4 linked regions of the Saccharomyces cerevisiae S288C genome follow. The gene in region 3 interacts genetically with the main gene of each other region. Each region holds a gene or a part of one and is shown on either strand. Other genes may lie near its edges. The genes, in order: VSB1, GPM3, AVT4 and PSA1.

Evidence for each region.
Region 1: mutations in AVT4 (region 3) and VSB1 together harm fitness more than expected from each alone (negative genetic interaction), as found in Saccharomyces cerevisiae (one large-scale study listed by BioGRID).
Region 2: mutations in AVT4 (region 3) and GPM3 together harm fitness more than expected from each alone (negative genetic interaction), as found in Saccharomyces cerevisiae (one large-scale study listed by BioGRID).
Region 4: mutations in AVT4 (region 3) and PSA1 together harm fitness more than expected from each alone (negative genetic interaction), as found in Saccharomyces cerevisiae (one large-scale study listed by BioGRID).

The regions. Positions count from the first base shown.
Region 1 is NC_001139.9:738,575-748,452, reverse strand, and holds VSB1 (Vsb1p), read right to left. Parts: upstream 6,129-9,878; coding exon 3,018-6,128; downstream 1-3,017. Other genes in the region: UTP8 (Utp8p), read left to right, coding at 1-503; YGR127W (uncharacterized protein), read right to left, coding at 717-1,655; YGR126W (uncharacterized protein), read right to left, coding at 1,926-2,618; ASN2 (asparagine synthase (glutamine-hydrolyzing) 2), read right to left, coding at 6,791-8,509. UniProt on the Saccharomyces cerevisiae protein: Amino acid transporter involved in vacuolar uptake of basic amino acids for storage during nitrogen replete condititions. May function as an amino acid/proton antiporter.
Region 2 is NC_001147.6:219,492-224,679, reverse strand, and holds GPM3 (phosphoglycerate mutase family protein GPM3), read right to left. Parts: upstream 1,413-5,188; coding exon 501-1,412; downstream 1-500. Other genes in the region: THI20 (trifunctional hydroxymethylpyrimidine kinase/phosphomethylpyrimidine kinase/thiaminase), read left to right, coding at 1-260; YOL057W (dipeptidyl-peptidase III), read right to left, coding at 1,778-3,913; ARG1 (argininosuccinate synthase), read right to left, coding at 4,207-5,188. UniProt on the Saccharomyces cerevisiae protein: Could be non-functional.
Region 3 is NC_001146.8:428,721-437,640, reverse strand, and holds AVT4 (Avt4p), read right to left. Parts: upstream 2,643-8,920; coding exon 501-2,642; downstream 1-500. Other genes in the region: MIC27 (Mic27p), read right to left, coding at 1-28; DNA-directed DNA polymerase alpha catalytic subunit POL1, read right to left, coding at 3,148-7,554; MET4 (Met4p), read right to left, coding at 7,888-8,920. UniProt on the Saccharomyces cerevisiae protein: Involved in amino acid efflux from the vacuole to the cytoplasm. Capable of transporting large neutral amino acids including tyrosine, glutamine, asparagine, isoleucine and leucine.
Region 4 is NC_001136.10:352,626-360,483, reverse strand, and holds PSA1 (mannose-1-phosphate guanylyltransferase), read left to right. Parts: upstream 1-3,724; coding exon 3,725-4,810; downstream 4,811-7,858. Other genes in the region: MCH1 (Mch1p), read left to right, coding at 1-659; transcription factor MBP1, read right to left, coding at 5,106-7,607. UniProt on the Saccharomyces cerevisiae protein: Involved in cell wall synthesis where it is required for glycosylation. Involved in cell cycle progression through cell-size checkpoint.

The sequences.
Region 1 (9,878 bases), on a different chromosome or scaffold from region 3:
AACCTAGATTATTTAAACAAGCAATTGTAACATGCCCAAACTTGCCATTAAATGAACTACTTGAAGAATTGTTTTCTATCAGAAACAGGGAACTATTACTTGATATCTCATTTAGGATTTTGCAGGATTTCACCAGAGACTCTATTAAACAAGAAATGAAGAAACTAAGTAAATTAGACGTTCAAAATTTCATTGAGTTCATAACAAGCGGTGGTGAAGACAGCTCACCAGAATGCTTCAACCCTAGCCAAAGCACGCAGCTATTTCAACTCTTGTCCCTTGTGCTAGATTCTATCGGGCTATTTTCATTAGAAGGTGCTCTATTGGAGAACTTAACCTTATATATTGACAAACAAGTTGAGATTGCTGAAAGAAATACCGAATTGTGGAATTTGATTGATACGAAAGGTTTTCAGCATGGGTTTGCTAGCTCAACCTTTGATAACGGAACTTCTCAGAAGCGAGCCTTACCCACTTACACCATGGAATACTTGGACATTTGAGTATGCAATGAATTTGATTGTATTGTATAATACCTATATAGAAAAGGAACTAATATATATAGCGTCTACTGTGGTTACTGATAAACTAACAGGCATTTAGAATTTGAAAACATCATATACATTAGATGTGTCCAACAAGAGATACCGGAATGTTCTGAGGGGAAGAAGATGGAATTTAAAGCTAGTTTGAAATAAAATGGAAGATTGTGATTTTTACAATTTGAATTTAAACCTTTTTTCCTCCTTAGGTGAGGTTACCGAATACTTGCGCACGTCTTCATCTGAGCTATAAAGGACCCTTTCTATAAAGGTAACTCTCGTTGAATCCTTACTCACGAGTAAAACTATTTGAGAGCGAGTTCCGTAGTAATCACCATCAGGAATTGAGGCACCTAAGTCATCCCTGGGAGGCCTCCGTAAAGGTGGTACGTATATGGTATTCATGGTTACATTTGGATCTACCATCTGCAAGACATCTGGGTTTGAAATAGTGCTTGGAAGGGAAGACTTCGAGGCGAGTTGAAAGCAACTTGATATTATTTTCTCCTCATCTGATTCAATATTCTCTAAAACTAGATTTTCTAAACTATCACGTGCTACCTTTACTTTTTCCCAAGCCTGCCCTGGTATACTGGAGCTGTCATAAAATTTACCATTAGAAACAACCATGTAAGAATCAAGATCTTTCCTACAGGTAGAACTCAACACATCAAAAGTTCTTCCTAGAGAATCAATAACTTTATATTGCTTTTTGATAACGTCGCCGTAAAAAAAATTAAAATCACCTGTGGACTTCAACCCATCATAGTGACCTTCAAACTTTTTGTAATTATCCCAATCTTCAAAATCTGCTTTATGGATCGACAAAAATATAAATGGTAACAGACCACGGGATCTTGATTTCGTATTATTTTGCTCATTGTCAAGTTTTAAATTAAGAATAGTGGCTAATTTTCCTTCTTTATTTATGCCAGACCAAGTGCCAAATATTTGTTTTTCTGCTGAGGTTTTGGCCAGATCGTAGGGTGAAAGGATAAAATCATTGTTATGCCAGCATGTAGCATGTGTTTTTCTTGCCAAGAATTCGTCTCTGTTAGATATTAAGATGAGTTCATAGTCAGGATGTGCCCTTGTGGCCATTAAAATGCACATTATTTGTTCGTTAGTTTTTGGTTTTTAATACTTTAGCCACAGGTGTGTTAATAAATGCAAGCGTTTCTTTCCTTTTCTGCCTCACTTCATATACTACTATCCTACTCCACTTTCAGGGGGAGACTATTTTTTTAGCGCTTTAGGAATTGAACGAAAAAGTCGAAAGCTAGGCAGATGCCAAGAATATAATGTGAGGCAAAAAAAAAAAAAAAAAAAAAAAAAGAATGATTCTGAAGTAAACGCATTGCGAACTAAATGTTGCTATGCCACTTAATCGAAAATTCTATGAAAAAACCCCTTGATCCCCTTTTCTGATTTATGTTTTTGATATTTTTCGATCCTCTTCTTATTCTTCTCTACTGCCATGTTCAACTTGTTTGGTTCTAGAGAAGAACCTTGAGAATTTGTAGTAACCTTGGATCGTGTCGAATGCATATCTGTATGGTCGTTAATATGCTCTTTTTTAGTTGAGGATACGCGAGAGTCCTCCCTCTTCAAACTTTCAAGCGTCTTCAATTTGACCAACCCGGTTTCAGTTTCTAAACGATACTCTTCTGGAAATGCAGCATCGTGAGCTGAGTTTGTTACTGGGGCGGTAATATCCGGAAGAGCTTTCTTGTTCAAATTTAAACCATCTTCTTTTAAGGAATCAACTGTTTCTGAGTTGCCCTCTAAAGCATTGTGGGTAACCATCTTTTCTATCGAATTTGAAGTTGGCCTTTTTAAAGTACTAGAACTGTGATGAGAATGCACATCTGAATGACGGTGTTGATCATCTACATTACTATCATCTTCCAGTTGCCCCTTTCCAACAATGGTATCGTTTTTTAAAAGAGGCTGTTCTGGAGCTTCAGAATCTTTGAACCCAGTAAAGGGCTCCGGTTTGTAAGAGTCAATAGAAGAAAAGGACGATATGTCTTCATATTCATTATCGGTAGTGACAGTAACAGATGGGACAGGCATAGTCTACGTTGATACGTTGTTATGACTTTGATTTGTTAATGCGGATATAAACTAACCGTACAACTACCCGTTGTGAATTGTTGTGGTAGTATATTAATGAAAAAAGTAACGGTATTTTTTTTCTTTAGGAGAGCAATTAAGTCAAGTGAGGTATGTAGTTGCTCATCGATGGGAATTATCACTTTTCGTCTACGATAGGGGCCCTATCAAAGAAAATCGCGCAGTAAAATTCCGGAAGTGAAGACTCAAGTACAAAAAGTTTATAGTCGAGATGGTAAAAATCCTACAACGGCATCACTTATACAGATGCAGGAGCATCCTGCTTTTATTTAGTACTGGTGTAAATTACTTGCAATACGCCGGCAATAAAAGAAATTAAATAAATATACGTGTACGCTCTCATGCGCTAACAAGTGTGTAACCTAGTAATTCTTTGAATCTGGTGTCCTTGATACACATGACCATTAATGCAACCTCCACGTACAATGCTAGATTGTCTTCTTTCAATTTGTTCAACGAGCTAGAGTCTATAACCCATAATACGGAATCAGTTTCAGTTTCGATGGTGAGCTTTTGTTCTCTAGGCATAGCATTCCCTGGCGCAATGATTTTTCCGAAGCATGTGCCATTTGAAAAAATCTCGTACAAGGTTCCTTGTGGTAGTTCATATGTTGCCTTCAACATACCTGTTTCCACAAGGAAAAAAATGTTGTCTGCATGTAGTAAATGTGATTGACTTGCTAATCTGCGCCTGGTGAAGTAGGGGCAGAGTTGTGCCCAAAACTTGATTTCCTTTTCTCTTACTTTTTGAACTTCAGATATTATATCGGGTCGGTACTGCTTTAATGCAAATAACAATATAGGCAGGACAGGTTCATCATCTTTGTACTCCTTTTTGAAATTCTTCACTGCTTGTTCGTCGTTTACAAATACATTCTGTGCTACAGAAAGTATTTGGTAATTACGAGGAGTATTGGTTGGTAGTGACATTAAGTTTCTCGCTGTGTCTCCATTGCTTCCCCTGTTTAAACCATTTCCTATTGTATCAATTTTTTTGTTTTTAGTGGCTGCAATTACTGCGGATACGACATTATTTTGCTTTCCTTCTTCCAATCTTTCTTTCGCCTTTTTTCTTAATTGTTTATATTGAAAAAGGAATTCGTTTTCACACCATTCCAACGCACTGTTTAAATCAGCAAATAATTCCACATCGTTTAGTAATCCCACATTATTGAAGGCGTTGTAAATACGGTCCCTTTCTTTGATTGAAGATATGATTAGTTTGATTCTTTTGGTTTCCGTGAATCTTTTAATTCTATTGAAACCTTCTGCCGCAGAATAGTCAATATTGTCGGCATTAATATTTTTAAAGTCCAATATTAAATACTTTATTCTGCGTTTTGTTGCATCTTTGTTACTTATTTGCAGCAATCTTTCAATTTTCTCTTCAATAGATATGATTGTTCCGAAAAACAGAAGGTTTTGGAGCTTTAAAACATATATTTGTTCACCAATTCCATCCAAAAATTTTGTTTGAACGTAATCACGATATACTGTACTTCTTGCGACGTTCCCATTATATTCACCGTTAATGGTTTGTAATTTCGTACTATCCACCAAAAACGAAAAACATGCAATTAAAATGCCAACGATGATACCTAGGACAAAATCAAAGATACCCATCGTGAAAACAATAATGACAACAGTCAAATATTCGAATCTATTCAATTTATTCCATGTATCGACCAACGCTTCCACTAATAACTCGTAGCCTAGTAGGAAAATTAGAGAGCCCACTATACAGATTGGAATGAATGATATTATGACTGGTCCAATGATCATAATACAGATAGTCAAAGCTATTAAAAGGAACCCAGCGAATGGCGAATCAGCGCCCGCCCTAATAAACAGAACACTGTTGGTATATACCAAGTAATTTTGGACAGAACCTAATAATCCACTAAAAAAGTTGGAATAACCATGTGCAATCAATTCTCTGTCAACATCATACTTATCCATTTGTAGTGACATAGCCAACGCAGGAACATTTATAGGAACATGTAGGATACCAAAAAATGTCAATGCCATCATCGTTGGTATTTGTTGCAAAACTAGTGACCAATGAACTTTATGGACATTAAATAATCTATAATGGTCATACCATTTACTATCTGAGTTGGCAATAGGAAAAATCCATCCAGCTTGTCTCAAAGCATCCAAGGATAATGTTGGAATGATCGCAACAATAAAATGAAACAAAACTAACGTCAAGATGTAAAAACTTGGCAAAACGAGTGAGTTCTTAAAGTAGCGTTGAGTGCCGATTAAAACTACAGTCAATAGTACAGGTAATAACCATTTCGCTAATGTGTCATAATCCGTAAACAGCCCTGAAAAAAAAGGCCATGAATATTCAAATTTCGCCACCCTCGTTGTGACTTCAATTCCTGTAATTATCAAGAAATAACCAACACCTCCAATACAGCCAATCAATATGTGTCGTGGAAAAAATCCCACTATCTTTCCTAGTCGTAGTTTACCCAATGCATAGAAAACGACACCTGTGAGCATCGAACTTATCACATAACAAAATATCGTTGTCGTTATGATTTCGTCATCATTACCTGCTAATGCCTCTTTTATAGCTAATGCCATTGTATGATAAAACGGAGTAATTTCAATCATTTCACTCCCAATCCCGGAAGGAAAACTCGACCAGCCTCCGGAGTACACGGCTTGTGATATTATGGTGGAAATATAAAACATGGATATACCAGTGGGCCCTAAATGAGAAAAAACTGGCTCTGTGATTGGAAAAATGATCATACCATAAGATAAGGCATCTAAAATGTTCAAAAGCAAACCTAACACTGCTGCGGGCAGATAATGTGCAAATTTGGAAGGAAATGACGTACACATATGCCACAAGTTTCTTGGCCTAAACCTTAAATTATGGGAGGGACGAAGTGACTGATATCCGCCCGCGTAACCATCTTCTAATTCCGGTAGTGAACTATTCTGTAGTCCTCGATTTCGGTCATCGTCCACGTTAGACGATGCTGGGCTAAGTAGCAATCTGGAGTACTCATCTGAATATTCTTCATCAATATTCTCTTCTATAGTACGCATAGATTGATCATCTTTTCTATCACCATTGCCTATAATGTCCATGTAATCCTTAATTGTGGGAGAATTTTCTTCCACAGAAGAGGAGCAAAATTCATTGGATAGTTGAGCTGTCTGCCTATGCAAATTTTCTGATCCATGTATCACTTTAGGATGTTGTTTGTTCGAGATGGGAAGTTTTGAATCCGACAAATTATTGATCATAGGTGAGTTTCCACCAGTAAAAAATCCGCTCATGTATGAACGGCATAATGGAGGAGACATTGCGCTAACACTCGCTCTATGCATCTTGTTCACAGATGAGTCTTGATTTATTCCTAAAGAAACTGATATGGCCTCCGAAAGCGACGAATTACTCCGGCGTCTCCTAATAGTCCTTCCCATATTTCTAAATTAAATTTTTGAGATTTTAAACTGTCTTGCTTATAGACCGGTGGTAGCTCTGAAATGAAACGATTCTTTTTGATTGTTATCTGGTTCCTTATCAACTCTGTTACCTTATTGAAAAAATAAAGAAGGGCTGTGAGATGGAAAAAAAAAAAAAAAAAAAAGAAAAAGAATGCAAAATATTATTTAAAAAGGGATAGCTTGCCGAGATTACTTGTTGGAGCCACAATTTGAAATCACCTCAAGAAATAGAACATTAATATGATTCAACTGTGACTGTTATATATATAGTCATAGTCCCACACATTTTTTGGGATCCACTCAGGGACCGATACGTGGGAAAAAGAACCTTGATAGCGCGAACTTCCTAGGGAATTTTTCATTTTGCAGCATAAGGATAGATAGATAAATAGATAGATAGATAGATAAAGAGAAAAAAAGCGAGATAAGAAATTAACTAATCAATCGGCTGCAGTATTCCATGTGATATCTACCGAAAGGGTTTCATATCGTAATTCGAATCCTATAGATAAGTAACCTAAGGGGTCAGCAGATTGAAAACTTTTATTATATACATATATCTATATAGATTAATATCCGTTTGTATCACCGCATTTCTTGGTTCACTCGTCAATTATAAGAATACGATTGCGCTCGTATTAAGCACTGACGTGCTTTTCGTGTATTTTGGCGTATCTACCTGAAGGATCTTCGGCACAACCCCAATCGGCCTTTGGAATCCATCTCATGACAGTGTCTGCCGCAGTCTTTTGAGGAAACCAAGCATCAAACTTCAGCCTGTACCAGTAAGCTTCTTTGGTGGTTGGAATATCGTCGCCCCAATCAGCCTTTGGATTGGCAAACATGGCGTCAGAAATGGCCCTTTCAGCAGTGTCTCTTAGGCCGTCAATCCATGAGTAGCCAACACCATCGGAAAATTGTTCCTTTTGTCTCCATAAGATTTCTTCAGGTAGGTATGGCTTAACATCTGGTTCATCTGTAGTGTCGAATGCCTTTCTTAAAATGTATTTTTCGATACGTCCTTCCTTTGGCTTGATCATCTTTTCATTTGGATCAATGTTCATACATAGCTGCAAAAAGTCTTTGTCTAAGAAGGGAACACGAGCTTCTAGACCCCAAGCCATCGTGGACTTATTAGCTCTCAAACAATCTGCCAAATGCAAGTTCTTGACACGTTGCACAGATTCGGTGTGAAATTCTGCAGCAGAAGGTGCTTGTGCGAAATATAGATAGCCACCGAATATTTCGTCCGAGCCTTCACCAGAAAGAACCATTTTGACACCTTGGGCCTTAATCTTTCTAGATAGTAAGAACATTGGTGTAGAAGCTCTGATAGTGGTAACGTCGTAAGTTTCCAAATGGTAGATCACGTCGTCCAAAGCATCCAAACCTTCTTGTAATGTAAAAGTGTGTTCATGGTGGATAGAACCAATGAATTTGGCGACTTTTCTAGCCGCTTGTAAATCAGGTGCATTTGGTAGACCAATCGCAAACGAATGCAAACGAGACCAACCGGATGTGTGTAGATGGCCTTGGTCATCGATACCTGCAAGTTGCTTCTCGTCAACATTGTTGTCTTCGTTAGCATCAGCATTAGCTTTTTCCGTTTCACGAGCAGCAATCGCAGCAATCAAAGAAGAGTCCAGCCCACCGGATAGAAGAACACCGTATGGAACTTCAGCCATTAGCCTCTTTCTAACGGCCTTTTCTAAACTGTGTCTGATAGCATGGTAGTCAACTGGGGTGGATGGGATACGCTTTTCATCCAACCAGTCTGGGGTAAAGTAACGAGTAATCTTGTCCGTTTCAGAATCGTAGACATGACCAGGAGGGAACGAAATGATACTGTCACAAACGTCAGTTAGACATTTTAATTCGGAGGCAAAATAAACGGTCTCTGGAGACTGAGAAGAACGCCCCATGTATAAAGTGACAACACCGATAGGGTCTCTTGCAGCGACAATACGGTCTTTCTTGGAATCATACAGACAAAATGCGAACATACCGTCCAGATATTTTGGAGCATCGATATCATGTTCCAAATATAACGGTATGATGGGTTCACAGTCACTGAAAGTTTGAAACTTGTAATCAGAGCACATCTCCCTTAGTTGGATGTGGTTGTAGATCTCACCATTAACGCCAAGCATATATTCGCCATCAGCTGAAGTGATTGGCTGGGCACCGGAGTCTAAACCAACAATAGCCAACCTCTCGTGAACGAAAATGGTGGAATTCATAACGGCATTTCCTGACCAATCTGGGCCACGGTGTCTGATTTTTTTAGATAGTTGTAGAGCTTTTGGTTTGAAGTTGTGAATATCTTCATGCTTGAAGGCTGCAAAGATACCACACATATTGTATTGTAGTGAGTATTTGTGTTTTGGTGAGCTTAACTGGGAAGCAAAAAAAATAGTATAAAAGTTAAATTAGAATAAATGAAACTAAGCAAGTGGCAAATCTTTGAAATATGCGATTCAAAGTCATAATTTTTTCAAGAAGAGAGGCTGGATGAGGCTTTACTGATTTTCTGGAGAAATCTTGCCATGAGTCAATGCTAAGAAAATTTGCAAAAACCCGCGCCGTGCGGCACCCATATGTGAATAAAGCTTTACTAGTAGATAGAAAATGTAGACCATTCCTGCAGGGTCCATACTACGGACGTATGGCTTTGTGAATCGTTTCACAAAGCCAAAAGAATGAACCCAATACGCAAGGTCCAGTTATGCAGAGAGCAGCAGGATAGCGGCTGTTGCACGCAACGAGACTGTTCTCTCATGTTTTCCACGATTTGATATATCCCCCTCTTAGTAAATACAGAGCCGTTCGAACGGTTTCTTTAGTAAAATCCAGGCTCCACCTTGATGGGAGGCATGATGAGTTCCAATTAGGAATGAGCAGGAGCTCACTTTAATCTTGTTATCGCAATGTGGAGTTAGCCTTAAGAACGTGTCCAAACCTCTTATGTATTGTTTTGTTCGTAATTTGATCGCTTTGTACGTGCAAATCGCTCTCTGCCCACAGCAGGAAGGACCACATAAGTGAATAAGTAAGTGGTGGTTCTATGATTTATCGGGATCTTATATTTGCATTCTAAAAAGTAAATGGTCTCTAGCGGGATCGAACCGCTGATCCCCGCGTTATTAGCACGGTGCCTTAACCAACTGGGCCAAGAGACCTATTTTTTTCGGAAGTCACTGATTAATAGTTTGATAATACAGGTGTAAAGAGTAGTATTTTCATGTGTCGCATTGTGTATGACAACATATGTGCGTTCGAAATAGATATAAGGCTTCTAATTTTCAAAGAAGGCGGTATCGTTAAGTATATGCATATGTTACGGTTTCACCTTGAGGATTAGAACTCTAAAAAAGGAAATAAGAGTGCTACAAAAAATGACGATTACTTCTTTTTTCGTTCTATGATATCGCCGCTCATTGTTCTATTACATCACCAATCCTTGAAATTTCAGCTTCATTGAATTGATGATGCTTTTAATAGAAACCATTTATGTCATATTTTGAGAGCCATACATGATAATATTCTGGTAATATAATCATAAGTTATTGGTTGTAGTTGGCGTAATATTCCAGGATTACGAATATGTATTTTATTTTACGCCCGCCATGTTGTATTTTTTTATCATAAAATTTTACACCATGACAAATCTAATACCACTGATGCAGTGTACTGTTTATACTTAAGAAATAGGTAAATTTTGAGATA
Region 2 (5,188 bases), on a different chromosome or scaffold from region 3:
CTCCTTGTTTGATGGGTTATGGTGAAGCTTTAACTAAAATGAAGGGTAAAGTCACCGCACCTGAAGGGTCCGTTTACCACGAATGGTGTGAAACTTACGCATCTTCATGGTATCGTGAAGCCATGGATGAAGGTGAAAAACTTTTGAACCACATCTTAGAAACATACCCTCCAGAGCAACTTGACACTTTAGTAACAATCTACGCTGAAGTTTGTGAATTAGAAACAAATTTTTGGACCGCTGCGCTAGAATACGAGTAGATAAGATGGCTTATGCACAATAGATAAAGATATACCTACATATAATGAATTATAAAAACAAAAAAATAATAATAAGAAAAAAGTTTCTTTGTTATACAATCTATAAAAACTTCTTATAGAAATTTAAACACGTTTATTTAGCTGCTTTTCGTTACTCATTATTCTATCAATAAAGAAAGAAGGAAATATAAAAGGAAACCATGAAAAAAATGGCGCTAATTTTTTATTTTTAAAAACTATTCATGGATTCTTTTCGAAACCCTCATCACGAACCATTTGAGCATTAACTTTAGCTGATTCTGGATCCAAGTAAAATTTCCTCACAAAAGAGTAATTGTCTCTATCCAACTCTATAACTAGCGGAATGCCGTTGGGAATATCGACATCTTTGATGTCTTCATCTGAGATACCTTCCAATACTTTCAGCAGAGATCTTACAGAGCTGCCATGCCCAACTATAACACACGATTCTTGACTGATTTTGTTGGCGGTAGACAGAACAACATTATTTAAAAATGGTTTCAATCTGACGACCACTTCACAAAGAGACTCACTTTCTGGCAGACGCTCATTAGCCTTCTCTTCGGGGCCGTATTTTAAGTGTCTATTGGGCTCCTTAAAATCATAGCCTGTGGAGGACCCCTGATCATTTTCCTCTTGGACCATTTCCAGGTTTAGGTTGACTTTAGGGGGTTTTCCGTTGTAATCTCTTCTGATATACATGTATTTTTCCTTACCGTATTCTTTCAAGATATCTGGCTTTCTTTGTCCTTGCCATGCGCCGTAATGACGCTCATTTAACCTCCAGGTTTGCAACACAGGCATACTTCCTTCAAATCTTGTGTCCTGCAGCTCCTCCTTAATGTTTGTATTCGTAGTAATTACATAATTGGTGTGTTTTAGTCCCAACTCTTCGAGAATAACGTCCATGGTCTGCTGAGTTCGAATCAACCTTGAAGTATAGCCAATCTGAGGCAAAGAGATATTGTTAGAATCGCAAAACTGCTTGATCAATTTTGCAGAGTGGCGGGCCTGAGACTTCCCTTTTTCCGTTAATTGAGCATCAATCCATCCGCAGAATATGTTTTCTGAGTTTAATTCACTTTGACCATGCCTTAAAATAAACAGTTTAAAAGTGTCAGTAACAGTCATAACTATTCGTTATTAGTAGATCTTTTTGCACTATTTCTCAATCCTCTCAAAGAGACTTTTATTGTAAATCCTCGATTGCAGGTTGTTTTATCACATATGTATAAAATGGAAGCTTCTATTGTTTTATCGAACTTGTCAATGAAATCTCGCATTGTTATCATCTCATAATACAAATCTGAAAAAAAAAGTTAAAAAACAAAGGAAAGTCACACAAAACTAGCAAAAGTAACAAATCAAAATTCGCTGACAGTTAGTGCTGTCGTATCCTGTCACACTTACATAATATATATCTGTTTACATAATCTAATAGCTTGAACAAAAGCAACAGCAAAGGTTGCTAATTAAAACGTGTGCTCTTAAGGACATCATAATTCTCTATCAAGGAAAGATTGGAGCATACCCTGTGGGGTTTCATCATATTCTTTCAGGGTTACCTTGTTATTGTCGTCAATATAAGAATTCGATTGTATGAATTGTCTCCTTGGCAATCTCTTAGATAAGACGATGTCTCTTAAAGACGCCAAATCCGGTGTCACCGTTGATCTATCAATAAAGTACTTACTTCCCTGTTCCACATCGCCTGAACATTTGTAAACATGCAAATGCTTTAAATAGTCTTTCACACATTCATGTCCCGCTGTTTTAATGAGAGATTTATCCAACTTGATGGCAAAATCATCATTCGTGCTGTTCATCTCCAACTTTAAGAAATTCTTATCTGTAGAGTGCTTCATAAATGTTTTCATGATAGAAAATCTTGCTTGCATGTGTGGTTGTCCCCACTTACCAGTTTTTGGATTCCAGTATTCTAAAGCTAGGAGACCCGCACGGGCCATTTGTAGATATCCAGCGTAGATCACTTTATCTTGAGATTCGACATCATGGAAACCAAAAATATCAAGAATCTTCTTATTAGTAAGCAAAAACATGGCAATTACTTCCGCACGACATTCTTCAAATGGGCCAGCTAACTGTCCAAATTTGGAACCCCAAGTTTCACCAACTTTGTAGTATGTGCTCACCGGTTTCCCATCCAAACCTAAAGGAGGGTTTTCCTTATCAAAATTAAAGCCGTCTGTAAATTCTGTCAACAACTTTCCTGAACCATGTCCTAATAATTCATGGATGCCTACTTGGACTTCAAAAGAATCACTTTGATATTTTTCAAAAATTGGGCGATCTTCTTGCGATATAAAACTTGGCGGATGCTTGGATGAGCTTTTGGCAGCCGCGCTTAAGATATTCCCCAAAGAAACATTCTTGAACCCAATTTTAAGCCGAACATCATCATAGTTTGGAATATTGATGCCCGCTGGTATACCCGATCCAGTAAACGTTAATACTTCTAGAGAGGTGAAATCTGGTGGATTGAAAATCGGTTTTTCGTAATCTTTAGACCATGGTAGTAAGGAAATGAATTCTTCTGCGTTGTTAACCAAGCTGGAAAATTTAGCAGTACGTTCTTTGTTTTGAATTGCAACCAACGATTCAAATTCTCCAATTATGCCCGAGGGTTCTCTATATGTTTCGATAAAACCGATATTTGTTTCAATGACGGGAGATATATCTTTGACCCAAAGTTTTTGTGCTTCTTTATGTGCTTGAGAAGAGCCAGTGACAAAGTGGTTGATGTATTCCTGAAGCATTGCTTTTTGAGTATCATTAGCCGCGAATTTTTGAGCTTCCTTTAAATACGATGCTACTAAACGCATTTCACGTGAATGATCACCAAAAATGAATTCTACTTTGGTTACAGCATTGGATAATGTGATCTGTCCACTGGGGTAGGTTTCTGTTATCTGGTTTTTCACATTCTCAGAGGCAACCCAGATTTGGAAACTGTTTTCACCAACTTTGTTGATTCTTGTGTTTTCAGGCAAGATGGCAAGTTCAGCAAACAACTGCTCTTTCAAAAGAGCCATATCTTCAGGTGTCACAGGTAAACCCAGATAATAGGCTGAAGTATAACCTTGAGAGGGAAACCCTAAGAGAGCCGCCTTCTCTTCCACATGGTAAATACCAATATCAATTAGCTCATTGATGGTGGAAAAAAGATGATGAGATGTGAATTCATGGTTAACGTCAACAGGAGATAAAGTGAGCGGAGAAGAACACGGATTAATCTTGGCCAGCTCCAAAAGCTGTTTGAAGAATTTTACCTCACAACGAGGAATAAACTTAGTGTCACCAAACGATTTGAAATTACCCAAATTAGATAAGAATTGAGAAACGTATTCCAAATACAAACCCGTTTGCTGCTTCTGCGTAATATCGTCCTCTGGGTACTTGCCGTTTAGCTTTGAATGAATGGCAAGGATTAGGTCAAAAATTGGCTCACTCTCATGAGAAACTTGTCTCATTACAACCCTTGAACCCGCATGGGAGGCCTTTGACATGAAATGCGCATATTTTTGTTCCTTATCAGTCAATTGAGGAAAGTATTCTGTTTTAACAGAAAGCATGCTCAGAGGAGCATCATGATCGGCGAAAAAGTGGCTCATCTTTGAGGACTTAATGGTGCAGTGCTCAGTTTTTTTTTTCTTCTTTTCAATGTTCTGTTCTCATGAAGGTATTTTTCCTTTACGATATTGGGATTTTTCGCTACGTCAACTTATTCCGAGCGGCTATGCTCTTAGCTATTTTTTCTTCTATTCAAAATTGGTATGATGCTTTCTTAAACTATTTATACAAAAGCTTACATATGTCTACATATGTATTTACATCACAAGAGTGTGCAGAAATAGGAGGTGGAGGAAGAGATCGTTATCTATCTTGAGGCGATGAACTAGCGGACTTACAAAGTCAACTCTTCACCTTTGGTTTTTTTGGATTCACCGTATTTTTTAATTCTAATGGCCTGGATGGCAATGAAACCGGTGGTATCGGTAGGTAAGAAACCGGTCAACTCATCCATAGAGGATTCTGTCGGATCGTACAACTTTTCAGTCTTTGTAGATCTGCCCAGAATGATGACGTTACCCTTATACAGTCTAACCCTGACAGTACCGTTAACGCTATTTTGGGATGGTTGGATCATAGATCTGATGTACTCACACTCTGGGGTGAAGTAGGAACCGTTATATATCAATCTGGAGTAGTTTGGTGTGACGAATGAGTCTCTCAATTGACGGACTTCTTTGTCTAAAGTCAAACCTTCCAAATCAACATGAGCTTTTCTCAAAACAGTCAATGGAGCCTGTTCGTAACAACCTCTGGATTTCAAGTTAATGTAACGATCTTCTACAATATCGATTCTACCAACACCGTTGGCCCTTGCTAAGTTGGATGCGGCCAAGAAAACATCCAAAGGCTTGGTAACGGAAACTTCCTTGGAAGTCTTGTTGTCGGTGTAGGTCAACTTGACTGGAAGACCACGTTCAAAGTCAATGGTCAAATCTTGTGGTTGGTCCGGAGCATCCATTGGATCGACGATCAATTTCCACATGTCCTTTGGTGGGGTGGTATCTGGGTCTTCCAAGATACCTGCCTCGTAAGAAATGTGGGCTTGGTTTTCGTCAGTAGACCATGGCTTGGCCTTGGTTTGGGCGACGGGAATACCCTTTTGTGCAGCATAGTCTAACAAATCCTTTCTGCCAGCAAATCTTTCGAAAAATTCAGGCATTCTCCATGGTGTAATACACTTAACGTCTGGCTTCAGAGCGTAAAATGACAATTCGAATCTGATTTGATCATTACCTTTACCGGTACAACCATGAGAGACCGCGAAACAGCCCTCCTGTTTAGCGACGTCAATTTGGGCTTTGGCAATAACAGGT
Region 3 (8,920 bases):
CATCCACGTCATCATAAAAATTTACCATTTTGGAAGCTGTATTGGTAAATGGTGTGCTGCTTCTGTCTTTGACTGCTTACTTTAATTATGAAACTATCACATTGTCATTAATCCCACTCTACTCCTTGATATGTTTAAAAGTTCTCAGGTTGTCGGGGCATTAAGCGGAGTAATCGGATCAAGCTTATTCGCAGATTGGAAAAAAAAATAAAATTCTGGCAATCTTGAACTTGATAATAAATATGAAATTGTGTATATTCAGACATGCTCACCACCTACTAATCGTAGATGGAACATTAAATAACAATATAGGGGTAATGCTTTTAGTGTTTTTTACCTACTACATAATTTCGTGCGAATAATACTGTGACCTGGCGGTCCTTGTTTATATAAAGTGAATTAAGAAGACGTTTGCAACTGCAAGCTGTCAATGGCGACAATGGCAAAATAGTGTTCCTCGATTCCAAATAAATTCTTTATGAAGCAACAACATATATCGTCTAGACACCGAATATACTCTGGTAAGACGTATAAAGCATGCTTGCAATACCGAAGAAAATTAAAATGGTATCTAACATTGGTTTGAATCTCCAAAATTCCCCTTTAGTCTCTGGAAGGCTATTGCCCCGTAAATGCAGCATCGATGGGTATATATATACCAAAGGAATACAGGCGAGGGATCCTATAACTGAAACGAACTTGTCTAAATTATCAGACCCAAAGTAAGCAATTGATACAACAATGATTACGATTATAGAACGAATAAAGTTCTTCAGCCATTTAATTTTCCAGTTCAGCTTTCCTGAATTAGGACGTAATTCGACTCTTGTTGTTAGATCATCGTGCTTGACATATATTTTAGTGAACTTTGGAAAAAACTTATTTTCAATAATTTTAATAGCTGGAAACAACTGCAAAGGTGTGGACAACATAATTGCGATGGAATAGAACAGCTGGATTAAGTTTACAAAAATGTTACTTTGAGGTAAGTTCAACAGTATAACCGTTTGAACATTTGAGCCGTATGCCAAATATCCCAATGTAGCTATGGAAATGAAAAGTATGGTTGCCGTTAGAATCACCAAAGCAAGTACTAAAGGAAATTTTTCAGGATTTCTCATTGAGTCTTGAACAGGAATAATTAACCCGATTCCTTCGAAAGCAAATATTGCCGTCCCGATAAACAGCGTCCAACGGTCTGCATTTAAGCCATAGACGACACCCATTGCTGGGGTCCCCATCAGGTCAAAAAACAACCTTTTGGCTGTAAAAATAATGACAATGACTAAACCAGCCATGATGAAAAAATTTGCTAGTAAAGATGGTAGTGACAATTTCGAAATGTTTCTAATAAACGAAAGTGGAATAAAAATGATCGTTTGAAAGACCATCAGGTAAGATAAAGGTAGGACGCCCACATGGAATACGTTATCAAGAAAAGCTTGTAAATTTTTTGCAGTAAATATCATATAAGCTCCAGAGAATCCAACTTGAGTTATTACTAGGGAGAAAAGAATTATTATTCTCATCCAAGGTCCATACAGTTTTAAACCAATATCACCAAAGGAGGATACACCGCATGAAGATTTGGCCTGCACCAATATGTAGTAACACCAGTATGAATAAATTCCAAAAAAGGCCAGCATACTTACTGAGAAAAACAAACCACCATTATGAAAGGCATTAGGTAAAAATAAAACGCCAGTTCCAATGAAAGATTTAAGCAATATCAAAAAAACCTTCTTTGTCGAAGTCGTACCTTTGGCTGAAGGTAATACTTTCATATGGTCAGGCCGAGACAGCAATGCACTCCTTTCATCTTCTCCGCGTATCATCATGTTTGAGCTATCAGGGATAAAATCATCCTCGAAGGATTCACCAGCAAAATGTCCAAACACGTATAGAAATTCCAAAAAGTTTCTTGTTAAAAAGGGGACCTTATCGATATCTTGGTTAGAAGATGGAGATGACTGGTTAATCGAATCGCTTTCATGCGAAGTGAAGTCTGAGCTAGCGGAATCATTTAATTGATGTTCTTGCCTTTTTTTGTTGACAATAAATTCCCTTCTGAAGCCACCGGGGACATTTAAACCACTTGCTGATGACAATTTAGTATGGTGCTCAATTTTAGGTGTTACATTTTCCATGGACCGAGGGCGTCTGAGCCGTTTAGGATCCTCTGCTTTAACCAACTTGTAAATATCATGCGTTATGTCGCCTCCAGCGCTACTCAGGTTAGTCTCATCGTCATCACTATCAACATTTGCTGCAGCTATGGTACTTGCTGAAGAATTCTTAGTCGGATTAACCCTAGGGATTGCTTCATTTCCATGAGAGACGGAACTTCTTTTGCTACTGTTCAAGTAGTTAAGCCGTACACTGTTTATAATCTCATCTCTGTGGGGATCCTCCAGAGTCTGAAAATTGGGAGAAGACATATCCACAAATACTCTAGAATCAACGCTTCGACATATATCCCTCGGCGTTAAGGTAGACATAGAATACTTCCTACTATAAAATGGGTTTGAATTGAGAACTGTTGATTGAGCCCTTCTGGGAATTTTCATATTATTGGAAGGATGCCTTAAATTTCCGTTTCTTCGGATCCCAAGGTGCTCACCATCTCCATTGTTAGTGACCATTGATGATGTGTTCTAGGATATTGTTATGTTGATTCCAGATTATGAATGACGTTGAAATGTGTTTTAGAGGAGGAATGATGAGTGCCTTTGAACCTAAGGAATCAGATGGCTAAAAATGCTATGTCACCTCGAAAGCAAGAGCAGATCAAGGTAAATGATATCCAACTATATTGTGGGTATTGCTTTTATCAAACTGGCTTATGACAGTGCTTCACAAGATTTAAGCATTCTATTTCATTGATGAAGCTGTTCGCTTATCTGATCTTGCTGATAAGGCGAATCTTAATGCATGGGTTTATTAAAGGATGATGCATGTGAGAACTGATCACCAGAGCCGAAAAAACATTCTCAGAATATCGCTGAAAACCTTCAATAATAAAAGCTTCCTAGCGCTCCTTCCGATGTCTGTACATTAGGTATCTAGTAGGATGCGTATGTACAGTTGTATTCTTTTCTTACTATATAGAATATTCATGAGATCACACAACACATACAAAATACTTACCTAATTTAGCATGAAATCAAATATGCTAGTCATATCAACGTAGCGACGTCCACAATCGTTCAAATATTTTTGAACAACGCTCCGGCCGGTTTCCATTAGTTCTCTGTTTTGTTCTGTTAAAGCCTTAATAGATGATTCTGTCAGCTGTTCCTTGGGGTAGTCGAGATCATCGGGTAGATATATTGGCTTCAATTCTTGCTTTTTATTTTTTTCACAATCGAATAAAGAATCGAAATATAAAAGTTGATTGTACAATTGCTTGTCACTGTATTTGTATCTCATGACACCCGTGCAGCCGTCATTCAAACAACGCTTACCAAAAACGGAGACTTGTCTTGTAACTATACCGCATGTGCTGTCATCACACTGTAACCACCCTGCGTAATATAAGGAAATGTGTGCCCTTATAGAATGCTCTATTTGGCTAGTTAATTGAAGAGGAGTAAAAAGTTGCTCACAATGCTTGCACTGTAAACCATTATATGACACGCGATAGTAATTTGAAGATACAATACCACCAAATGGAAACCTTTTATCGCATGATGGGCAACTTAATTCTAATGTTACAGTATCCTTAAACCTTTCAACGTCTGTAATTGTTGTTTCTAAGGGTTGCAAATTATTAATATCTTCTCCATTGTTATTACCGCCCTCTCTTCTAAAATACTTTTTACTATCTAAACCAAGCGCTTCACTCAAACGCACCACGTTGAAGCTATCAATTCTTTCTAACAACCTTTCTACCGGCGCGAATATTTGTTTCTCGAGATAATATTGTGGATCAGGTATCAAATTGTTACTTTTAATCATTACCTCATTCAATGCATGGGCACGTTCAGCCACAGAAAGAGCCGGCGTATCCGCTGCATTGTCTATTTCATCCTGCTTTGTGATCACAAAAGTGATGACAGAGCCAGCTTTAACAACTCTACCAGCCTTACGCATTCTTAGAGCTACTTGGACTGCAGGCATGTTTTTACCACCTGGGTAGGCCTTGGGATCTTTTGAAAGCTTCATATTGATCTTATATTTATCAATTCTAATGTTATTGGTTTCCACTTTTATTCTGATGTCTTCTAAGTAATCATACACTTCTTGCAATGCTTCTTCTGGGTCCTTATCTGACAGGATGGTGTTTAAAACATGTATAGAAACGTCCCTCGAAAGTGGACAAAATTCACGACGCTTCATGTCCAACCCTTTAACTTCTAGAACAGTAGTTCCATTACCATTTTTGTCCAAATTTACAGTCAAAGCAGCGTACTTTTTCTTGGCATGTAATAGTAACTTCTTAAAAACATTATCAATATCAATCTCCAATAATCTATAGCGCTCATTTACTAGCCTTTTAAATCCCAAGCCAATTTTAATTGCATCCGCATAATTATCACAACCGGTATCTATCATGACCGAATCTGTATCACCATAAACTACAAGAAGATTCATACTTTCAGCTAGTTGTCTTGTATTCATTAAAATCTCACGACCCTTATTAGTGACTAACATGGCGAGCGGCTTTGCGTAAAATCTACTGTTAACATAACCCAAACAACCATACATAGAATTGGCAGTCAATTTTAGAGCTTGTTGACGAATATCACATTGAACTCGCTTATGGGGATCAGTTTCAGTTTTCATCACCTTCTTAACTTCACGTCGACGATCCACCAGATTAGCTAATAACCTTGGTAAAACACCCTGATCCACCTCTGAAGGAGGTACGCTTGGTAACTCATCGATATCTTCCTTATTTCTATCAACGGTGGTAAAACATATATTAAATTCCTGGATAATAGATGGATACAAAGAATTAAAGTCCATGACTAAAACGTAATTCTTATGAAGACCTTTCTCAGGTTCAAAAACTAAACCACCCTGATATTTTGCCTTTTTAGAATTAACTGGTGCATCAGCATTTTCTTCATTTTGTCTTTGTTTCTGAGCTCTACTTCTATTGCCTTCTTTGTCAGGAACAATAAAACCATTTCTTGAAAATTCATGTAGTAAGATATACTCATTTCTACCAGCTCTTGTACCGCCTAGCGTTTGGGCCCATGCATTACCAGCCAAATTTGTCAACTGTTTAGTCAAGGTTAATAATTGAATTCTATAAGACACCTCAGCAGAAATCATACAATTAGTAATATTCTCTTGTAGGGCCATTGTCATACTATTTACATCATTTTGGTATTGTGGATTTTGATAATCAATATCTAACGGCTTATGCTCCTTTTCACATGTAACTTGATACATCTCTGAAAGATCCCAACTTTGACATTTGGGTGTTAATGATTGACCCATTTCATTGGCGATATCACATATCAGCCTACCAGAGCAAATGTCACTAATAAAAAAATGGTTCATATTCGAATTTCCTCTACCGAATTTTTCAGGCCAAGTCCTTCTTAAACGACGGCCAATAGAGCTGAACGTTGGAATGTTGAGATCATGCATTCTATGAGCTAAAACATCTAAGTAGACATTTTGCAAACGATGGCCTATGATAACATCTGGGTCTTCCACTTTTAACATAGCACAAAAACAAGATAGCATGGCCTTTTCGTTGTTGAACAACCTGACTCTACCGGGTAGTTTCTGTTTTGCCAGTGCAGCTAAACCTAATGGGAAACTAGTTGACTGAGGCGGCCTTACTAAAGTACACAAGTCGTCTGGTTTTATATTTTCAGGTATCGGTGAATCCAACGAGATATTTCTATATGCTGATAACGTTATCGAAACAATCTCTTGCTTATTTTCCTTGGGATTCATTAACGTCTGAATCGATAAAGATAGACATCTCAGATTAGGCATTGTCTTTGTTGTAGTAGGCGTGATATTCTGAGGCTTATCTACCGAAACTTCAACCGCACAGTGAGAAGCATTACGAATTGAATTGAAATCTGCTCCCTTTATATCTAACCAGCATGGTCCCATAATCCTATTTTGAATAACAAAACTTTCAAAAATATTGGAATTCCCACCAAAAACATGATAAAAGGTATCGCTAGATAAATCCGATGGAATGGTGTCTCGACTGGACTTCGGTGTTTGGTATGGAAGTAAGACTTTCAAATAATCACTTTCAGATGGAATGTCAGGAAGCTCAAACGAATATTTCATTTTTTGAGGTTTAGCGCGGATATTATCCAGTCCATATTTATCCATCAGTAACGGAATTATTTCCTCGTGTATATCGGTAGGTGTTTTACCCTCTCTTGGAAGGAAAAATAGCTCTCTACAGAGACCGTTGATTTGAACCATGGCTGACACACAATTATCATCCTTTAGTTTAACCTTACCAAATAAAATCAAAGTGTTGTTCACTTCACAGTAATCCAACCAAAACATTTGGAAAGTATCAGTTTCCGGATCTACCACATCTTCCTTTTTGACATTAACCGCAAGTGTAGCAACATCGGTGTTGCTCTGCAAAGATTTACTTGGAGTTAGTCCTTTAATACCGATTGGCGTTCCGGGTGCTGTGACAAACGGTGAAGTTGAAGGGTTACTTCTTGAGTCTATATTCACGCGTCTAGTTGTTGTCACACTTCTCATAGTTCTTCTTTTCAGAATAATATCTTCATCACTATCTTCATCATCTTCTTCATCAGCCAAACTTTGAGCGGATGGTGGATTTGCTAGTAACGTATCTTGAAGTACATTCTGTCTCTTTGTGGCTACTACTGGGGAATTTTCCACATCATCCAATAAATCCTGTACATCATTTGCGTAGCGCAGTTTCCTGCTTTGTAATTTTAACGGTGATGATTCGATTTCTAAATATTTATCAGTACTTGAATCTGGATCAATCTTGACTTTTTTAGAAATACCGGCATCATGACTTGACTCATCGTTTCCGTTAACTCTCTTTATTGACGATTTAAATTCACTAGTCGGCGAAGAATTTAAATTTTCCCTTAATTTGGATGGCAGTAAAATATTGGGTTTTTCTACTTCACCAGATTCAAACTCACCAAGAATGTCATCAAAATTATCGATGGGGATACTTTTTTTTTGGGATTTTTTTGCATGTGCTAGCAGTGTTGATTTGGAATGTTGAGTTCGCAGCATATCTGTAATCTGGTGGTCTTTCTCCCTTTTTATATTCTTCTTCCTTTTAGAATCCTTGCTAGCAAGGTTTCCAGTGTCTTCATCACTTGAACTGTTATCAACTTCCCTCCAATCTTCTTCGACACCACGATCGACGTAGCCTACACCATCGTCATCTACAACAAAATCGTCATGCAGCAATTCCTGGCGCTTTCTGGCCCTGTATTCTTTTTCGTCGATTTCGTCGTATATTCTGTCACCATCTGATTCGTCACCTTCGTAATCATCGATGGATGTACCATTTCGAGCGGCTTGCAGCTTTCTCAATTTTTCTAATTTTTCACTTTTAGAAGACATTTTCCACTGTTTATTTTATGCCTTGATACTATTTGGTTTCTAATAGCAGAGTGAAGACAGTTTTTTTTCTCGTGAGTCTGAATTGGTATGTGTTCGTTGTCTAGACCAAGAAGATATATATCATCCAATGAGTAAAGAATTTAATTCAGTAAAATTGGATACACGCGACGCGTTTTACTTATAGGCTAACAAAAAAATTTTAACGCGTTTGAATAGATGTGTGATGAATGAAGAATAGAGATTGCAGGCAGTACAAGAAAAAAGTTATATTTCTTTAAGAAAAATGCACGTATATATATATATATATATAATTAAACTGTATAGTCTGTTATTTTATTCTTTCTGAACCTTCTCAAAAATTTGCTTCTTTAAGCTTTCAGCTTTTTTTATTCCTTCCGTTTCACCGCTACTCAGAACTAAATTCTTTAAAAGCTTGTTTTCCGTTTCTAACGTATGTATCCGTTTTTGTAAGGATGCTGCAATTTCGGTCAGTTCATGTATCGATGATTCTAACTCCTTTTCCTTTAGTTTTTTTTTTTGATGAGATTTTTTCGACTGTATCAATAAATCTTCATCGTCGTCCCCTAACTCTTTCTTGATCAGTTGCTTCTTTTCAAAGCCGTGTAAATCTGCATCGTCATATTCATCGTCTTCATTATCAGAATACTTGCGGTCGACGGGTACTTTTTTATTTTTCAAATCTCCGGAGTGTGATCTTTTTAAACTATTTTCCTTGTGATCAGAAGAACTTGCATTTAAAGTTGGCTCGGATCGTATCTTGGCAATTTCGTCTCCACGCGTCGTACTTGACTTAATAACAGCGTTATTATGATGGACATTATCGTTTCCATTGTTACCGTCACTCTCTCTTGATATTTTATGATCGTTTCGTGAAGGTTGTCGTTGATTGTGAATATTATTACTTTTTGGATGCTTTATGCCCAGTTCCAAAATGGAGCTTAGAAAAGAAGCCTCTGCTACTACACCGTGCTCATTGAACGAAGGCGACGTTGATAAGGTAGTTGGCGCAGCAGTTTCAGCCGGAGAGGGTGGTATTAAGACACTTAAAAGTTCGTTGATGTTTTTTAGAATGGGTGCCTCTTGACTGTCATTGGTGTTGATGTTTTTATTATTATTACTGTTATTTTCCCTAATCTTTTTTTGATGATGATACGCCATTATTGCGGCTATAGCATCTATTTGATCATTGTCAAATCCCGCGCTGATCAACGAGTTATATGCGCCGTTGGGCACGTTGACCCTCGGTAATAGAGTTACTAAAACAGAGGTTGGTATAATTGAATAGTCAGGAACAGTTATATTGGGGGCTTTGTTGGAGCTGTTATTATCGCTGTTACTATCGACT
Region 4 (7,858 bases), on a different chromosome or scaffold from region 3:
TTACGCAGACGATGCTAAGGATCTTTAGTGATCCTGTGACATATATCCTAGCGGTATCAATTTTGTTATCACTTGGGCCCCTCGAGATGTTTATTGCCAATATGGGATCACTGACTAACCTGCTAGTCCAATTAGATGCGCCAACCTTATCTACAAAGTTGTTATCCACATACGCGCTATCTTCCACTTTTACGAGATTGCTCACAGGCATAGTGGCAGACTTCTTCGCCAAGAAAAAAATATCAATTAAATGGATCCTGTTGACTTTCCTTTCATTAGGGGTATGTGCACAACTGTTTTTATTGAAAATGACCTCTTCAGCGTCACCCTGGGGGCTAGTACCTACAGGATCATTGGTTGGAATTGTATACGGTGGACTTTTCACTGTTTATCCGACGCTGGTCCTGTTAGTATGGGGCGAACGCTCATTCGGGACTGTTTACGGTAGCTTACTAATTGCACCTGCTATAGGTTCTATGATATTTTGCATGTTGTATGCCAAATTTTACGATTCTCGCTGTATGAGTGGCGGAGGAGATCTGCGAAATCCGTCCTGTATTTCGGCTGTCTACAAGTACAGCAGTATCGCATTCGTTGTATCCGCTGTTCTTTCAGCTGTAGTATTTTGGAAATTAAAAAGTAGAAAACTCAGAATTTAAACAAAAAAGAAACTGCTACATTTATTTTTTTTAAAATTCATAGCTTATATAAATGACACCAATAAATTGCACTTATTTCTTTTATGCTATGCTATTGTTTTTGATACCCTTTTAAAGGTACCGGTTAAAAATTGAGAGAAAAAAAGAAAGAACTCCTCATAGGGGGCTCGAACCCCTGACATTTCGGTATCCTTGCTTAAGCAAATGCGCTTAAAAGCCGAACGCTCTACCAACTGAGCTAACAAGGATGAGTTCTTCGGAGAATCCTGGACATAAATTTGTCCATGTTATTTTAAAGTTTTATCAGATTTGCACTGGTCTTTACCGTTCCAACACTTTGTACATGTTGATAATAAGAATAAAATATCATCCATCGACTGCTATTCTTCATATCAATTGTACATTATCATATATGATGTAAGGTGATTGGGAAACAGTCATCAGATCTTATGGAAAATAAAATGTGAAGATTCATAATATGATAGGGTAATGAATGGCAACATATAAACGAATAAGAAAATCCGCTTCTAAAAAGAACGGAATTCACCAAGTATCCCAACATTGACCCATTTCTTATGCTTACATATTGTTATTTTTTGCCCCTGTCTTAGTAGCAGAGCTTTCGTCACATGTTCAACTAAATTCCAAACAGTTGAACTTTTTGTTCTACTGATCTTGTAATTCATGCTTCCTTCTATGCAACACGCCATACTAATTTAGTAGAATGAACAGTAACTGGTGAACGATGACTCTGTAGTAGAATACTATAAAAAGGTGGCATCGTATAAAGGTGCCTTCTTTGACCCTTGGCAGGTAGGGCGGCAACGGCACAATGATATTTTATTTAACAAAAAGATACGCTAACACCGCATCTGAACACGTAATACTACTATATGACTTGGAACAAATGGCTAATCAATAATCACATATGTTCGACCGCTGCAGGAAAAGAGAAAAGAAAGCAGTTTCTACAAGCAAGAACTTGGAAATACAGACAAACCTCCAGTACTTTATTAGGATTGTCCATTCCTCACCCAGATATGTTAAATTCGATACCAATGTGTTTTGATTCACGCGCAGAAAGAAGGACTTTCCCTGCTCTGCTCGGCAAAAACATACACGTTGTCGACCGAGCACGACTGCCGTTGTCGAAGCCACCACTGTCACTTCTCGTTTAATATCTTTAATCGCATCATCTATAGTTCCTAATTCTGCATTCCTAACACTGTAGCCTATCCAGCAAAATCATTCCCATTTTCTCTTTATATGTGCCTAGATTTTAAAATTTTGCTTAAGATGATTTACATTGAGGGGGGAAACTTGCTTTATCCGCTCCTCCAATTGATTCAAGAAGTATGGGCGCTGACCTACCATCTCAATTTCTTGTTTCACTCGAGAATTGTCACTGAGATAGTAAATGTCTAGAGAATCCTTTGCAACAGGAGATTTCAAATTTATATTCTTTGTGTTCGCATTCGCTTCCCGTCTGTTACTCGTTCCCTTACCATTCTATTATGCATTGCAGATCTGCCAAGTAAAAAAAAAAATACCTTGGTGTACACACCACCCATACATTATCTGACAAGGAAACAAAAGTAATGACAGTAAATTGAAGAACTTGTGATGAGCCAAAAAGAAGAATGTGTGCACTTCTTTTCGTATTTTTATGGTAAAGCCAGTTGGTGGCTTTCTTTGACGATATGAAACCCAGGATCCCATGCTGCCTATGTTGCATTTATGTAATTGTCTGTATGAAGCTCGCATTTTAGAGTTACTACTATGTGCTTTCTATGCAGTTGCTTGCCGCAGCCAAGACGTAGAGATTTCTTAGACGTGCTTTTTATTTCTTATGAAAGTAAAGAGTGTGTATACAACGAACTATGTTAATAATTAGTAGTACCAGAACATTGACTTTCGTAAGGACCAAACGGCATCCCTATCTCGGAAGAACACCACATGATGCAAGTTCTCCTGCCTACGAATAGTTCGTCAGGTGCCAGCACTGAGACCACCCAAACTAAAGGCAATCGAAAACTATACCACGTTTATCGTTATGTTTCGGCGGCTCACCTTGTATCAACCTGCTTGGCAAGCTGCTCTGCGAGGCTCCATTTTTTTACATTTTCAAGAGGAGTACATTTCACCTTAAAAAACGGCACGGAGAAAGCCTAAACTTGGTTGCATATACGCAATTACAAATCTTTTATAACTACTTCTGATTCTGTGCACGACGTGCCACCCGGTACAGTTCAAAGGTCACTATACGCACTGTCGATCGAGCCAACCCAACCCACAGAACATCCTAAAGCTTCAAATCGAAACGCGTACAGTCAGCATTCTTCATGCTGCACCCGATCCTTCTTACCGCGTGCTGGGTGAAAAGCAAGACTAAGAGCAAGACCCTTGGATAACGGCACCAAATGGACTACTTTCGTCCTTTCCTGCAACTCTGACTATAGCTTTTTCTATCATTGCCTAAACCAAACCGTCCACGCCACCTCACCAGCAACGCACAGCATGAAGAACGCGAAAACAGAAAAAAAAAACGCCAAAAGAAACGGCCACCGTGTACTTGCTGGCCAGCTAGAAATGCCTCGGGAGCCACCACGTTTATTTTTATCTCAATCTCTGAAAAACTTTTTTTTCTTTGTTTTTGTCGTTTTTCAGCATGAACAGCGCAGCAATAAACAAACAAACAAACAAACAGACGAACAGACACAGAACCACAGCTGACCGGTAGTAAAGTAAGCTGGTGGTTTCTCGCTTTGTTTTCTTTTTTTCCTTGCCTCGTGGCGCTCTTGTAAACATATATATAGTAGACTTTTCACGTCATTGTTAGAAGTTTCACATAGTCTTGTTTTCTTTTCTCCAAAACTGTATTTTTTTTTTCTTTGTCTATCTTGTTCTCACCTCTTTGACTTTGATAACGTTCATCAAGTGTGCAAACTACTTTACATTCGCTAACTCTTTTCTTCTGTCCAAATATTTTGTTGACTATACAAACAAAATATTATCAGCACAAGACAAGCTACAACTTCAACAAATAAAACATATATAATTGAAAAATGAAAGGTTTAATTTTAGTCGGTGGTTACGGTACCAGATTGAGACCTTTAACTTTGACCGTTCCAAAGCCACTGGTTGAATTCGGTAATAGACCAATGATTTTACACCAAATCGAGGCTTTAGCCAACGCTGGTGTTACTGACATCGTTCTTGCTGTTAATTACAGACCAGAAGTCATGGTGGAAACTTTGAAGAAGTACGAAAAGGAATATGGTGTTAACATCACTTTCTCTGTAGAAACTGAACCATTAGGTACTGCAGGTCCATTGAAATTGGCTGAAGATGTTTTGAAGAAGGACAACTCTCCATTTTTCGTCCTAAACTCCGACGTCATTTGCGAATATCCATTCAAGGAATTGGCTGACTTCCACAAAGCTCACGGTGGTAAAGGTACCATTGTTGCTACCAAGGTCGACGAACCTTCTAAATACGGTGTCATTGTCCATGATATAGCTACTCCAAACTTGATTGACAGATTTGTTGAAAAGCCAAAGGAATTTGTTGGTAACAGAATTAACGCCGGTTTGTACATTTTAAACCCAGAAGTCATTGACTTGATTGAAATGAAGCCAACTTCAATTGAAAAGGAAACTTTCCCAATCTTGGTCGAAGAAAAACAACTATATTCCTTCGATTTGGAAGGTTTCTGGATGGATGTTGGTCAACCAAAGGACTTCTTGTCTGGTACCGTTCTTTACTTGAACTCTTTGGCCAAGAGACAACCAAAAAAATTGGCTACAGGTGCCAACATTGTTGGTAATGCCTTGATCGACCCAACCGCTAAGATTTCCTCCACTGCTAAGATTGGCCCAGACGTGGTTATCGGTCCTAATGTCACCATCGGTGATGGTGTTAGAATCACCAGATCTGTTGTTTTGTGCAACTCCACCATCAAGAACCACTCCTTGGTCAAATCTACCATCGTAGGCTGGAACTCTACCGTTGGTCAATGGTGTCGTTTGGAAGGTGTCACTGTCTTGGGTGACGACGTTGAAGTTAAGGACGAAATCTACATCAACGGTGGTAAAGTCTTACCTCATAAGTCTATCTCCGATAATGTTCCAAAGGAAGCTATTATTATGTGAGTTAGGAAAACGAACTGTAATGAATATAATCTATATCACTCATCTGTTTTTGTTAATTTTATTTTAGCCAATATCATTATAAAAAGAGGAAAACATGCACAGAAAAAGCACTGCTTACTGTTATGTCTTAGTTTGTAATTGAAAATGAAAAATAAAAAAAAAAAAGAAAATAAAGAAAAAAAGGTTGATCCTTATGTAACTTTTTATTTACGTAGAAGTTAATAAATATTATCTCATTGTTTTATCTATTTTTCAGTATATGGATACATGTAAAGTTCCTCTATTTATGTATATTTTATGCATGACTATTCGCGTTTGAGATTGTGATGATCTGTTCTGCGCCCTTATTTTTATTATTGTTGGCTATCAATGTCTGTAGTATTACATCCAGCGAACTATCTACTTCTTCAATATTCATTTCCGTACCTTCCCTGATAATCCGTCTATATTTATGAATCTTGGCATTGTCTTCAAATTTCTTCACCAAGGAACTCAATTTGTTTTTCCTTTGTAATTGCAACATCGTTAGTTCTTGAGCCAATTCCAACCTTTCCAGCGTATTATTATCTTTCTCAACTGTGTTATTGGTGGTAGCCTGAGTTTCATCTTCTATTAATTTGTTCAATAAAACCGTTTGCCTGTATTCCAGCTTTTGTTTTATCAACCGTTTGTATCGTATGAGCCTTTTTCTCAATTTCTTAGTATTTTGTTCTTGTAGACGAGATAAAATTTCGAAGTCATCATTAGTCTGAGCTTCGCCGTTTTCATCTTTACTGCTCTCTTTCAATACCTCTAAAGTTTTTAGGCTTACCTGTATTTTCGTCTTAGAAATGCTTTTTAAAGTTTTTTGCAAACTTTTTATTTCGTTGTCATGCTGTTCATGAAGATCGTTGTATATGCTAGCCATTTGCTTCATAGAATTCACTACATTTGGAATATTTCTTGATATATTGGTGGCAATTTGAGATGGATAGGTTATGTAATCCGAAGGAGAAACAGGCGACATGATTACCATTGAATTAACATCATTTTTCGTTTCAATGTTGTTTGTATTAACGTGGATATTCAAGTCCGTGTTTGAAGAATTGACATGTTGATTTGTACCATTTTGTATCATCATTTGCTCATATTGTTGATTCATTATTTCATTGGCGGTTAATCCTTCCTTATTGGAAATAGTAGTTAATGCACCCATTTTGACCAGTGTATTAAAAAAAACAACATCTCCATTTTTAGAAGCAATATGAAGTGCGGTATCGCCATTTTTGTCTTGTGTGTTTAAAAGTAATTCAATTCTATACTGTGGGGAAAAATCCTTGATCTTAGATAGCACAACATCAAGATAATAAACTGCAGAAGGTGTTGTTGATTTTCGTTTCACAATATGGTGAATTACTGTTTGTGATTGCGAATCGATATCAAATACGGTCTCGTGCAGTAGCTGGAAAATTCTAGGGAAAGTTCTTCTAGTGTATGAATTGTGGAATAAGGAACTTCTCATCAATGGAGTTTGGCCTTGAGAATTTGTCGATCTGATACTTGTTCCGGCTTCGTACAACGCCTCAGCAATTGGTAAATTACCCATAGAACAAGCCCAATGGAAGGCAGTATGTAATTCTGGATCGATTGGAGCATCTATATAGGGAGCGCTGTGTGGAGGTGGGTGCAATAACACTTGTGGTAGGGACTTATTTGACTTCATTTCATTGGAAATAAAATAATCAACCAATTTTGAAAGGTATTTGTTAACTTTATCATTAATATCCGATGTTTGAGGCCTTGAAGTTACAGGATAACGCGGGATCATGGAAATAATAGGAGATGTTCCACCACCGGGAAATCGCTCTTCAAATGGATTACTATCGGCAAAATCGCCCGGTGACGTAGGTAATGAAGGAGAGGAAGATACGGACGTGGCCATTGATTCTGTTTGCTGTGTCTGTATCAAGGAAGATTGTTGTTGGGGTACAAATCCAGTATTTTGATTAAAAACTTGTTGTAATTGTTGTGAAGGTTCCACATCGCTTGATAAGCCGTCCTCAAGATCAATTTCTTTGAACTGTGCAGAATTATTTTGTTGCGGCTGCTGCTGTCGAGAATCGTGCCTTTCTTCTTCCAGAATACCCAATGTAGGGGATTGTGGTCCCATGGTGGATCTAATAGAGGGAAGTTGCGTTGTCGATATTGAAGAATTCGGTATCGCCGGTCTAGGAAATCCCATATCACTTTGAGAACGTTGTAAATTGACACCTAACTTCCGCCTACTTCCCCTCGTAGATCCTACCGGTCTACCTCTTTTCCTTGGTGCAGCCGTGGGATTTCCCAATATTTTGCTGCTTTGAAATTGATTTTCCTCGGCTTTCTTGTTGTTTCTTTTTGTTTCCATAATTGCGGAAGTACTTGCACTTCTAATAGCCTTTTTCCTATCCACCTTCGAGGCATGGTGATGTTTTGGAGCAGGAGGTGGAGAAGCAGACCCATCTGTTTGCGTAAAGTCGAACAACGGTTTCAGCTGATCGTAGACACTAAATTTTTCTGCCAGTTGTTTCGCTATGTTCAGTGGGACCCATGTACCCTGATATTTACCAAATCCACCCTGAACTTTTTCATGAGTTTCCTTAAGTACTTCCTTCTCTAGAATCCTTGTTCTTTTAGCCTTGGCAAAATTGGCGGCCTTTAAAATATGTGTAGCATTGACCCAATCATCCTTTTTCCTTTTCATGATAGATCCTGTAGAATGAATGAATTCATAAACATCAACCCCCGAATATCTCGCTGAGTATATTTGGTTAGACATGCTTGTGTTTCTGGGATTTACGTTGTGTCTCGGAATGTTAAGCACGATTTTGCAGACCAATCGCACTTGATATGATGTTTAGTTATATGAATTACAATGGGCTTTATTTTCCGATGGCTCAATCTTGTGCAAGTTATGTTGATTTTGTTTTCTTTTTTTCATTTTTTCATCTGTTGATTATACTAATCGGATGGAAAAACAAAGCAGTAGTAATTTAACAATCTAACAATCTCAAGCGCAAGAGAAAAAAG